Macaca mulatta: one gene and its partners. The protein of the gene in region 1 interacts with the protein of each later gene in a biochemical or structural test. Links are inferred from orthologs where the notes say so. Each region holds a gene or a part of one and is shown in the gene's direction. Other genes may lie near its edges.

The links.
Region 2: the proteins of CREBBP (region 1) and HOXB7 form a complex in vitro, tested with the Homo sapiens proteins (2 studies listed by BioGRID). The link is inferred for Macaca mulatta from reciprocal best matches to the Homo sapiens genes CREBBP and HOXB7.
Region 3: the proteins of CREBBP (region 1) and SREBF1 form a complex in vitro, tested with the Homo sapiens proteins (5 studies listed by BioGRID, with this or other methods). The link is inferred for Macaca mulatta from reciprocal best matches to the Homo sapiens genes CREBBP and SREBF1.

What each region holds. Positions count from the first base shown.
Region 1 is NC_133425.1:5,100,799-5,105,010, reverse strand, and holds the start of CREBBP (CREB-binding protein), read left to right. Parts: upstream 1-1,412; 5' UTR 1,413-1,493; coding exon 1,494-1,578; intron 1,579-4,212. UniProt on the Homo sapiens protein: Acetylates histones, giving a specific tag for transcriptional activation. Mediates acetylation of histone H3 at 'Lys-18' and 'Lys-27' (H3K18ac and H3K27ac, respectively).
Region 2 is NC_133421.1:61,398,642-61,402,629, forward strand, and holds the start of HOXB7 (homeobox protein Hox-B7), read left to right. Parts: upstream 1-1,188; 5' UTR 1,189-1,763; coding exon 1,764-2,163; intron 2,164-3,988. Other genes in the region: uncharacterized protein LOC114673140, read left to right, coding at 1,077-1,188. UniProt on the Homo sapiens protein: Sequence-specific transcription factor which is part of a developmental regulatory system that provides cells with specific positional identities on the anterior-posterior axis.
Region 3 is NC_133421.1:19,395,348-19,399,584, reverse strand, and holds the start of SREBF1 (sterol regulatory element-binding protein 1), read left to right. Parts: upstream 1-1,437; 5' UTR 1,438-1,606; coding exon 1,607-1,697; intron 1,698-4,237.

The sequences.
Region 1 (4,212 bases):
AGTGTCACCAGGTGGGGCGGGACCCGAATCCCGGCCCTGCCACTTGCTGCCTCGACGACTTTGGAGAAGTTGTTCTCCCCCCTCCTGCCTCAGTTTCCCCATCCGCCCACCTCGTCGGCAGACCTGAAGGCGGTTTGTAACCTGCAGGGCCATTCCACTTCCCTGGCCGGCGGCGAAGGCTAGTGGTGCGGCTTGGGCTGGGGTCGCCCCGATCGTCCCCGCCCGACGCCACCGAGGAGGGTATCGGGCAGGGACGCGAGGAGCTGGGAACACGCAGCGCCGCCCCAGCCGGACGGGCGGGCCCGGGCTGGCGTCGAATCCGCGCCGGAGAGCCCAGCCCGTGGCCAGGCCGCTGCTCCCGGAGCCCGCTGGGGCCCGGAGCCCCGGCCCTCGCCGCCTCGTCGCCATCAGAACAAAAGCCGCGGCTCAGCCCGGAGCCCGGGCGCCCCGCAGGCCTGGCCCGCGCCCGGCAGCCCGCCGCCCTGCGCTTCGCGGCCGCGCCTTCGGGCCTTCGGCCCTTCGGCCCGAGCACGCTCGGCTCTTTCCGCCACGGCCGGCGCAGGTGGAGGGGGCGGGGCGGGGGCCGTGCGTGGTGACGCCGCGGGGGGGGTGACGCACCGGCGTGCCCCGCCCCCACCCCCTCCCCGTTCAGGCTCTGGAAAGAGAAGAAAAAAAACTTTCTTTTTTTTTTAATTGAGGAATCAACAGCCGCCATCTTGTCGCGGACCCGACCGGGGCTTCGAGCGCGATCTACTCGGCCCCGCCGGTCCCGGGCCCCACAACCGCCCGCGCACCCCGCTCCGCCCGGCCGGCCCGCTCCGCCCGGCCCTCGGCGCCCGCCCCGGCGGCCCCGCTCGCCTCTCGGCTCGGCCTCCCGGAGCCCGGCGGCGGCGGCGGCGGCAGCGGCGGCGGCGGCGGCGGCGGCGGAACGGGGGGTGGGGGGGCCGCGGCGGCGGCGGCGACCCCGCTCGGCGCATTGTTTTTCCTCACGGCGGCGGCGGGCCGCGGGCGGGGAGCGGAGCCCGGAGCCCCCTCGTCGTCGGGCCGCGAGCGAATTCATTAAGTGGGGCGCGGGGGGGGAGCGAGGCGGCGGCGGCGGCGGCACCATGTTCCCGGGGACTGCCTGAGCCGCCCGGCCGGGCGCCGTCGCTGCCAGCCGGGCCCGGGGGGGCGGCCGGGCCGCCGGGGCGCCCCCGCCGCGGAGTGTCGCGCTCGGGAGGCGGGCAGGGGATGAGGGGGCCGCGGCCGGCGGCGGCGGCGGCGGCGGCGGCCGGGGGCGGGCGGTGAGCGCTGCGGGGCGCTGTTGCTGTGGCTGAGATTTGGCCGCCGCCTCCCCCACCCGGCCTGCGCCCTCCCTCTCCTTCGGCGCCCGCCCGCCCGCTCGCGGCCGCGCTCGCTGCTCTCCCTCGCAGCCGGCAGGGCCCCCGACCCCCGTCCGGGCCTTCGCCGGCCCGGCCGTCCGCTCCCGGGGCTGTTTTCGCGAGCAGGTGAAAATGGCCGAGAACTTGCTGGACGGACCGCCCAACCCCAAACGAGCCAAACTCAGCTCGCCCGGCTTCTCGGCGAATGACAGCACAGGTGAGGAGGGGTCCGGGGCGGCGGGGGCCCGGGGCGCGCTGTCACCCCCACCTGAAAGAGAGTGTCCGGGGGTGGTGGTCGCGGATACCTACCGAGCCGGGAGCCCGGAGCAGGCCCCGCAGCCCGTTCCCTTCGCCCCGCGCCGGAGGGTGGAAGTTCGTCGCAGGACTGTCACTGGGCCCGAGTTGGGCAGCACACGCCCGGTGCACTCGGCCTCCCCGCACCCGATCAGCCCTCCTCGCGGGGACCCGAGTGGCACTCCAGGAGGGAAGAAGTAAAGTGCAGTGTGTGGGTTTGTTTGGTAATGTCCTACGCATCCATCCGCGGCCGTGTCCACACGCGTGGCCGTCCAGAGGAATGACAGCGGAGGGTACCTTTGATGCTTAGAGAAAGCAAGATCGCGGCCAAAGGTAGCGCAGTGTATTTTCTGGATTGGCGACACATTGATCAGGCTGCAGTCAGAGGATACTCACAGCAGCCGCCAGCTTGCGAGTTAGAACCGAAGTTTCTTGGAATGAGTGAGTTCCTTGGAAAGATGCTTAGTGCTTATTTTCAAAACTCTTTGTTTTTTTTTTGTTGTTGTTGTTGTTGTTTTTAGTGAACTAGTCATTCCATTTTTCAAAATCCAAACTTCGTTAGCAAGATGTCATTAAAGTTGCTGTGGTGTGTTTCATTTCCATGTGTAACTTCAAAAGAAAGTTAAACAGCAGATTTAAGTTCATTTGGGCTGCCATCTCCATTTGAGTTTGTGTTGCTTTCACAGTGTAGATGTACAAAAAATTATGTTAAGGCATGTAGGAATTCCAATTTTTCAAAAAAATGTAGCAGGATACTGAATAAATTATCTTTTGTTTGTTTCCTCTCATTTAACAGCTTCCCTGGAAACTTTCTTAAGTAATCATTGCTGCTTAAGAGAAGTATTTAGTTTTCTATTCATTCAGTAATTCTGGGTCCTACTGCGCTGGTTCATGGTAACATGAACTAGTTGTATTTCCTCTTTTAGAGCTCTCTCCTTTGCAGCAGAAACTTCTGTGCCGCTGCGAACAATTCCGTCTCCAGCGCAGCTTGCATTTCTCCAGTAGTCTTGCAGTGGCAGCATCTGAAAATCAGTTTCTAATGAATGAGTCCAAATTGAATTACATTGCTGCCTTCAGATTTGCGCTAGACACAGCTGTTCAACTTGTGGAAATAGTTCTGTGACCGACCACTAGCATATTCAAAAAACTGCTATTGCTGTTGAAACAAAACTTGAATTTTGTGGCTTAAGTTTGAATACAATTCCTGGAATCAAGTTATGATAAGAGACATTTAATATTAATGTGGAAGTGAAAAACGATTTTTAAAAATCAATCATAAGGAGATTCTTATCTAGTTAAAATTTCTTAAACAGTGGGGAGGAGTAAATGATGCTCATGGTATGTAAAAATCACTAATAATGTTTTTCTTTTTAGCTGATAAAAGTTGAGTTTGACATTAATCTTATGAAATGAACTTACTGAAGTGAGAAATGTGGAAACAATAGTTTAAATGCCGTTGTACTGCAAAACAGATCTCAGTTGCTTCATTAATCTTGCTGTGTTTGAGTAGTCTTCAGTTCTGTGAGACGTAGGTCATACGAGGCGAGTTCAGCTTTGAAGCTTGTCTTCTGAAACTGGTAACCTGGATGGCTTTGTAGCTTTGCTATTGTTGAATGAATTTGTTGTAGATTTTGTCTTAAAAAGGGGGACAATCAGTAACACAAGACTTAACAAAAAGGCTTATCCTACTGTTTACATCCAGCTGTTTCCAAGATGGAGCCCGAAGGATAGCTTTTTCCATAGTAGTTTCCATTATTGGATGATCAGATGCTTAATAACAAGTTGATCAGAAAGGATTTTCCACACTTAACCAGCTTTTCCCTCTTCCTTTCCAGTTTTGATCCTTGTAAGGCACAGGGGCTCTTTTGTGGGACCAAAAGTCAGCTTTAAATGACTCTGATTTAATCCAAAGTAGAAAGTCGACATCATACTTAAGTTGGGTCCTGAGTTACACATTCATCACCATCACACTATTGTGAAAGGGTCTGTTAGTGTGGAGGACCAAGGAAGGGATCATTGTCAAGCACATTAAACAAGGGGCTGGATGCCATGGCTCATGCCTGTAATCCCAGCACTTTGGGAGGGGGAGGCTGGTGGATCAACTTGAAGTCAGGAGTTCGAGAGCAGCCTGGCCAACATGGTAAAACCCCATCTGTACTAAAAATACAAAAAAATAGCCAGGCATGGTGACATGCACCTGTAATTCCAGCTACTTGGGAGGCTGAGGCATGAGAATCGCTTGAACTTGGGAGGCAGAGGTTGTAGTGAGCCGAGATCGCACTGCTGCACTCCAGTCTGGGTGACTGAGTGAGACGCTGTCTCTAAAAAAAACAAGGGACACCTTGTCTGGTGTAACTACTAGTCTAAGAAATTGAGTAACGAGATGGACAGAGATCTTAGGGATGTATATTAAACAAATAAATGGCTTGAGTTTTTACATTAAATACATTCAAAGGACTGAAGGCATTTAGTTAGGTGGGACAGACCCGAGAATAACATTCTTGAGAGACTCAATCTTATTTTAGTGAGGGGATGTGTCTCTGAGGCTCCCAGGGGA
Region 2 (3,988 bases), on another chromosome or scaffold:
ATTTCCCCTCCCAATCCTCTCTCCTCGCTGCACCCCCCAGCTCGCTGGCTTTCTCTCTGGCTTCTCTCTTTTCCTCTCCACCCACCCCCTTTGGTTTGACAATTTTGTCTTAAGTGTTTCTCAAAAGAGGTTACTTTAGTTAGCATGCGCGCTGTGGGCAATTGTTACAAGTGTTCTTAGGTTTACTGTGAAGAGAATGTATCCTGTATCCGTGAATTGCTTTATGGGGGGGAGGGAGGGCTAATTATATATTTTGTTGTTCCTCTATACTTTGTTCTGTTGTCTGCGCCTGAAAAGGGCGGAAGAGTTACAATAAAGTTTACAAGCGAGAAACCGAGACTGGCCCGGCCAGAGCTCCTCATTTGCTCCCGGGTGCCTTGCAGAACCTGTGGGGAGCCTGTCACAGGGCTCCTGCGCCTGCTGAGGCTAGGCCGCAGAGAGGAGGGGGCGGGGGCTGGAGGCAGGTGGTGCGAGTCCTTCGGCCCAGGGGCGCTGGGGGTGAAGGAGGCGGCTGCGCCTGATTGGAGGAGAGAAAAACGAGGGAGGGGAGCCAAGAGAAACCCCCTCCTCTCGCGTTCCGAGGCTGCCCTGCCCGGGAGACCAGGGCGCCCAGGCCACGCTGGAGACATGCGGCTGGGCTGGTGGCTGTGTCCCCCGCCACCTCCCTCTTTGTTTTGCTGTGTGTCCTCCCGAGTGTGTGTGTTTCGGGGGTGGGGGGGGAGGTGGGGGGGTGGCAGGCATAAAGGAGGAGTGCAGGCCTGCTGAGCATACTTTTTTTTCCTCTTGGACTCTTGTTGTTGGGGGAGCAGAAGAAGGGAGACCGCTCTTCCCTGCCTCTTCCTCTCTGGGACTTGGCCACCTTCTCTCTGTTCTGAGGCCATGGCTGGCTGCCTTCCTTCCTTGGCTGCCTCTGCTTCTCTGGTAGTCACGCTCCACTGAGGCATCCGCCTCCGGGAACCGGGAGAGCAGCGCGCCCGGACTACCCTCCACCCTTCCTTTCTCTCCCCACCCACCCAACCCCTTTCTTTCTTTTACTTTCAAACCTTTTTATTTATTTATTTATTTTTTGCCACCAGAAACCGCAGCGTTCAAGGCCGGTGGACTGGATCCTGTGCCCTAGGAGCACCTAGGAAGCCTTGCTCCATCTCCGCCCGCATATCTGGGGCACCAAGAGAGACAGAGCCGTGAGCCAGGCTCGCCTCATTCCTCGTCTTGGGAGAACCGGACCAACTTCCCCAAAAGGCCTTGCCGTGCACAATTGGCCCGGATTAATAAAGAACAGACCTGCCCCAAGCACCCACCCACCCAGTTGCATGCATTCAATCCCTGCATTTGTCTCTCGCTGGGTAACGGGCTGAAGAGGATGGGTGGGGGGGGTGACAATACGGATCGCCCCGAGGTTATTTTCCCTTCCACTCAATCTCTTCCTCCCCAAATCTCGCCTGCAAGCTGCCTCCAGCCCGCGGGAGTCGGCAGCGGCCCTTGAGCCCCTAGCCCCAATCCACAGGGTTCGGCTATCCCATTCATTATTGATCATATTTTATAAATCCAACGCCACACAATTTTTCCGTATTACCGGGAGCCGTGGGGAGGCGGCCCGGCCATTGGCGGAGGGGACGTCACGTGGGCGGGGGTCACGTGGTCCGGAGAGGAAAAAGGGGGTCCTTTTTGGTGTAAATCTGGACTCTAATTCTGTAATATATCAAGGAATCTCGTAAAACCGACACTAAAACGTCCCTGCCTACAAATCATCCGGCCAAATTATGAGTTCATTGTATTATGCGAATGCTTTATTTTCTAAATATCCAGCCTCAAGTTCGGTTTTCGCTACCGGAGCCTTCCCCGAACAAACTTCTTGTGCGTTTGCTTCCAACCCCCAGCGCCCGGGCTATGGAGCGGGTTCGGGCGCTTCCTTCGCCGCCTCGATGCAGGGCTTGTACCCCGGCGGGGGGGGCATGGCGGGCCAGAGCGCGGCCGGCGTCTACGCGGCCGGCTACGGGCTCGAGCCGAGTTCCTTCAACATGCACTGCGCGCCCTTTGAGCAGAACCTCTCCGGGGTGTGTCCCGGCGACTCCGCCAAGGCGGCGGGCGCCAAGGAGCAGAGGGACTCGGACTTGGCGGCCGAGAGTAACTTCCGGATCTACCCCTGGATGCGAAGCTCAGGTAACGCCGCGCACCGAGCTGTCCCGAGCCCCAGGGGCCGGGGCACATTACCCGGAAGGCGCCCCCTTCCCGGCAGGGCGCCCCTTTCCGCGTCCAGAGTGCTCTCCAGCCGGAGGTCGGCCTGGAAGGCTGCACCCACTGGGCCGCGACCCAGCAGGCCGTCCCCGCCCCCATATTTGCTCGGTGCTCTCAGGCTTGCTCTGCTTCCCGGCGGATCTCTCTTCGCCGACACCACGGCGCTGCGAGCCCCCAGCCCGCCCCCACCCTTCCTCTCGGCCTTTTAGCTTTAAATATTTATCAGCAGCGCCGGCACGGGCTAGAGACGAGGCCGTTTGTCTTGCGGAGGAAGGCCGGTGTTTGCAGAGAATAGCTATTAGGGTCTCCCCCCTTCTCCCCCCTTCCCAGCTAAGGATCTCAGCCCTGGGTGTGTCCCACTGCCCCAGCTCGGATAAGGTATGGGGGAGGGGGCCATAGCGCTAAGCAATTCTCCCCTCCCCCTTCCTTTCCAGCCAACCCCGCTCCCCGATTATTCCCATCAGGACAATTAGAGGTGGGCTCTAGAGGCCTGGCGGGAGGAGAAAAGGACCCAGCCAGGGACACAGAGCTAGAGAGGCAGGTGGAGGGAGGGGGCTGAGGCCGAGGGAGATGAGCCTCCTGATCCCAGTGAACTTGGGTGGGGGAGTGGAACAGGAGAGCTAGAAAGGGGCAGAGGCTTCATGGGAGTGCAGCTGGTTTCCTCAGGTGCTCTTCCTAGGGCTCCTAGGAACCCCTAAAGAACTGGCCAAGTTTGGAGGTGTCAATCCAGATAAGTGGCTCTCTTCTTGGGGAAGGGGCTAGGACTCCCTGGAGCCAAATAAAAACTTAGGGAGTGCAGTTCACCCAGCCAGCTGCTACAGGAACCCCAAGAGGCTGAGGTTCCATGGAGTCCCTGCCAAGTCTGACCCAGACATCCTTTTCTGCACTGTTTCAAAGCAGATGAACGTGGGAACTAGCCCCAAAGTCCAGAAGACCCAAGACTCATGGTCAGAGGCACACAACCCAGTGATGATCAGGGGCCAGAAGGAGCCCAGCTCTCACACCATCAGTATTGGTGGTTATAGACCCCTTTACCTGCTCCATAGTTTAACTGCCTTTCCAGTTGATTTATCAAAGCCCCACTTTTTCTTCTCATAAGCATTTCAGCTTGGCTTTTATCTGACTTGAAACTAGGGCCCCTAGCCCCTCCTCCCCTGACTCCTTCCCAGGAGGGCTGACATCAGCACCTCTTTCAGTCTCCTCAGGGTTCTGGGCCTAAGGCAGAAGTTCCCCTCTACCCTTCAGCCCCACCACCCAGATACTCCATGTTCCATCCTATCCCAGGCTACTGTCTCTCCTCTTCCCCTGTGCCTTCCTGGAGGCCCAAAGATTGCTTTAAAGAGCTGGGCTGTCTAGGCAAGCAGGCAAGCAGGACAGCCTGGCCCTGGCTGAAGCTTAGCCACTCACTGGAAAAGAATCATCAGAGGGTCACTGCTGTCAGACCAACTGTTTGCTCCAAGGAAATCTACAAATTCTTACCTTCTCATTCCACAACATGCTGGGGATGAGTTGGGGAGACTGGGCCTTTGGGGCCCCTTTGTCTCCTTTTCTTCTTGGGAAATGCTCTCAAGCCAGGCCTGGCACCCCACTCCAGGGTCACTTGCATGGTTTCTGTTGGTCTCTACTTGAAAGACCATCAGATCAGCATTCAAAAGAGGGGGTTTAGGGTCCTTGATCCCAGAGAGTGAAAGGAGATTTAACCTCCCCTCATCCCACTTGCACCCCTTAGGGGCAGAGCTGTTTAAGAGCC
Region 3 (4,237 bases), on another chromosome or scaffold:
GGGTCCTGGGTGGACCCTTGAGCAGAGCTACTTGGGGAGATGTGGTTTGGTGACCCCTATGACTTCTGGCTCCCCTATTCTGGGTAATTTTCCACTGCAGCCACTTCTGGGAGAGGAACAAAGGGAGCTGGATGTCCAGGCTGAGCCCCAGGGACTTGGGCTCTGTGGCTTCTCTCCCCCACACACCCCTTCTAAAATGCATCATGAATTTTACTCCTGCTTAGGGCGTGGTCAGACAGGCTATATCTGGAGTCTGAGCAAGGCCGTCCGCAGGATGGCTTGACTCATGAAGGTCTGGGGTCAGGAAGGCCTGAGGCCCAGGCCCCTGATGAGTTTCCTGGGCTGGCCTCCACCAAGGGTGCTTCTCTCTGCTTGCATACCTCTGGGGACAGGGAGCTCACTGCCTTATCACATTCAGATACCTGAATGTTAATTCCGGTTTATTTCAACCCACCTCATTGGGACCCCATCCCTCCTTCCTGCCCCAACCTGGCTCTGTCCCTAGGCCACAGAACCAGGTTTGGTTTCCAGCCCTCTTCTCAACAGGGCTGCCTGCTCTGACCTAGTCCCAGTTTGTCATGATCCAGGGCAGCCTGGCTCTGATCTAAAGCACAGCCACCTCTTCCTTGTGGCCCCTATCCTGACTGCTCCCGGGAACAAGTACCAAATCTGGGGTCAGACAGTCCTGGGGCCAGTCTTCCTTGGGTACTGGCTTCCTCCTTCAGGAGCTGCACTGGGCCCACTGGTATCCTATCCCTACAGCTGGATCTGGGAGGAAACCAAATGAAGACGATAGGAAATTCCAGCCTCTTTCTTTGGCCACTGCTGTCCTCAAGAGGCCAATCTTCTGGTTTTTTTGCAGAGAGGGGGCAGGCTGATCTCACAGGTCATGCTCCCCTCCACATTGTCACTAGCCTCCCAGCCAACCCGTGAGGAAGCATCATTAGGCCAATGTTACAAATGAGGAAAATTGAGGCAGAGTGATGTAACTGGCCCAGCAGTTACATCAGGCCTGCTCACAACACAGCAGGCCTGAGACCCCTATAACTTGGATCCTGCCCTGTCCTGTGGTAAAGAGTCAAATCTAGGAAGTGAGGAAATGAGGTTTGGGATGGGCCCAGGCCTGGGGCTTCCACTCAGCTCTCTTGCTTGGTGCTGGAGAAACAGAGGACCAGAGAGGGGGCTTGGCTTGCCCGCGTTCCTGCAGCAGCCGGCCAGAAGCCGCTGCCATTGTGCGCGAGGCTGGATAAAATGAATGACTGGAGGGCGCTCTGGAGGAGGGGCCGGCTGAGGGGAGATTTGTGGCGCAGACCGGGGATCAGGGGTCCCCCGCTTCTTTCAAGGTGGGGCGGGGCCGTCTATCTGGGAGGGCGGGGCTTTCCCGAAAGGCCCCGCCTCCGCCTCGACCGCCCAGCGGAGCCGCAGCAGGGGGAACCCAGTTTCCGTGGAACTTTTCGCGGGCGCCGGGCCGCCTCCGAGGCCAGGGCAGGACACAAACGCGCGGAGCGGCGGCGGCAACTGCGAGCCGGGGCCGCGGCGGCGCTCCCTGGGAAGGACCGTACGAGGCGGCGGGCCCGGCGGGCCTCCCGGAGGAGGCGGCTGCGCCATGGACGAGCCGCCCTTCAGCGAGGCGGCTTTGGAGCAGGCGCTGGGCGGGCCGTGCGATCTGGACGCGGCGCTGCTGACCGACATCGAAGGTGCGTCAGGGCGGGCAGGGCTCGAAGCCGCGCCGGGTGACGCGAGTGGGGGGCGCGCAGGTGCCTCCCTGTCCTTTGTCTCCCCCGCGGGCGCCAGCTCCGTGCTGTGCTCGCGCTGGACTTCCCGGCGTCTCTGAGCTGCGTGCCGTGCGCCTCGGTGTCCCGGGCCTAGCCGAGCCTCCCTGGTTCCCGCCCTAGCGTCTCGGGCCGCGCGCTCGGAGGTGAGGGCTCTTGGGCCGGGCCGGGGTCCCTTGGCGACTCCGGGCCGGGACACGTGCGCCCCTACGCGTCCCAGGCCGGGTGCCGCCCGACCGGTGACTCTTCAGCCCTGTGGTGGCCACGGCTGGAGCTGGGGACCCGGGCGTCGCCGAAGCTCCGCCCCAGCCCCAGCCGTGACGTAATTGCGAGGTTACTCACGGTCATTCCCTCCGGCCCGAGAGTTCAGCTCAGCGTCGGAGCTCTTACGCATGCGCACTGGCGCTGCCTCGCGCCCTTCCCCCGCCTCTGGTGGGGTTCACCAGGTCTGCGACGGGAATCGCCTCCGCACCCATTCACTGACATCCACTGAATGCCAGGCCCCGTCTTAGGCACAGACAGACCTGGGCACCCCCTCTTTCGGGAACACAAAAATCCCCCAGGAAACCAAACGGGTATTTAGTTGCACCTTGGGTGGAGCGAGGCTGGCGGGGAGGGCAGGGCAGGGATGTGGCTACTTTGGGCAGAGCAGTGAAGGACTTCTAGGCTGAGACCTGAGGGTCACCCCCAGGACCAGCAGGGAAAGATGTTTTCCAGGCCACGGCAAGGGAAGGGCAAAGGCCTCGAGGCAGGGCGTAAGTGTGAGGAGTTAGAGGCTTGCAAGGGAGTGAGGTCAGGGAGGAGGAGGACGCGAACCGACTTGGTCGGCCAGGGAAAGGGCGGAGCAGGACAGTGGCACCGGCTTCCATCTTTGGAGAGCCACTCTGGCTGTGATGAGAAGGGGCCAACGGTGGCACCAAGTGCCAATTGGGAGGCCCGTTGCTTCCATTTTGTAGACAGAGCAAAAGGAAGCCCCTAGCAAACTGCCTCCATGGTTTCTGTGCAGGAGTTTTAACAACACTGGCTAAGTTGCACTTGGTTGATGAGGAAACTGAGGCCAAAGTCGCAGGAACAAGATGCCTAGACTCACAGCCTGAATGGACATGTCCATGGAACCCGTGGCCACCCTGGGGTTGGCAAAATAGATACATCTATGCCACCCCCACTCCTGCCCTACTGCAGCCTTGCAGATCACCCAGCTGGTTGCCTGCCCCAGGAGCTTCCCAGCCCTTCCCACTGGGGCTGGGCTAGGGGAGGACCCCAGAGGAGAGGCCCTGATTGTGAGGCTTTTCCAAAACAGCCTCCCCTATCCCTGGCATGAGGGGTTGTCCTTCACTGCCCTCTGGAGTGATGAACCCTGAAATCCCAAGCCCTAGGGAGATCTGGGCTTAACTACCAGTTCCACATCCCTGGGCCCAGTGAGTGTAGTCCAAGAGGCAACGTGACCAAGCCAGGAGGACGTGGGCTTTGGGGTCAGAGGTTGAACCTGGACACTCCTCATTTCCTTTATCATCCTGCTCAAGCCCTCTCACCCTCTGAACCTTAGTTTCCACCTCCAGAAAAATGAGGATGCAAACCCTCCCTTCATGGGCAAGTTGGACAACAGAATCGGGTCTGGGCCACAGGTCTGAAACAGACCTTTCTTACTGACTCATGAATAAAAACACTGCCTCTCCAGACCCAAAGGCCAGGCATGGGCAGCCATGTGGCCCAAGGTCTAGTCTATGAGAGAGTGGGGGCAGCCCCTTCTCACTAGGCAAGCCTCAGCTTTACCCACTTCAGTAGAGGATTTTTCAGTTTTTATTCAAACTTCCTGTTTTTCTTCCCAATTACACATCTTTTTTTCAGTGTAGAAAAATTAGAAAGCACAAGTGAGCAAAAAGAAGAAAATAAAATCTTTAGACCGGGGTGGTGGCTCATGCCTATAATCCCAGCACTTTGGGAAGTCGAGGCAAGAGGATGACTTGTGTGCGGGAGTTTGAGACCAGTCTGGGCAACATGACAAAATCCTGTCTCTACAAAAATAAAAAATTAGCTGGGTGTGGGTGACACGTGCCTATAGTCTCAGCTACTCTGGAGGCTGAAGTGGGAGGATTGCTTGAGCCTGGATTTAGAGGCTGCAGTGAGCTATAACCGTGCCATTGCACTCAGCCTGGGTGACAGAGTGAGATTCTGTCTCAAAAAAAAAAAAAACTTTAAACCTACCACCCAGAGATAAGCTCTGCTAATTATGTGAAAGAGCTTTTCTTCTCTTTTTTTTTCTCTCTCTCTCTCTGTCTGTGTGTGTGTGTGTGTTTGGGGAATGGCTGCACACTCTTCATAGACTTTTTTTTTTTTTTTGGAGACAGGGTCTCACTCTTTTGCCCAGGCTGGAGTGCAGTGGCATGATCTCAGCTCACTGCAACCTCTGCCTCCCAGGTCCAAGAGATTCTCCAGCTCCCAGGTAGCCGGGATTACAGTCGTGT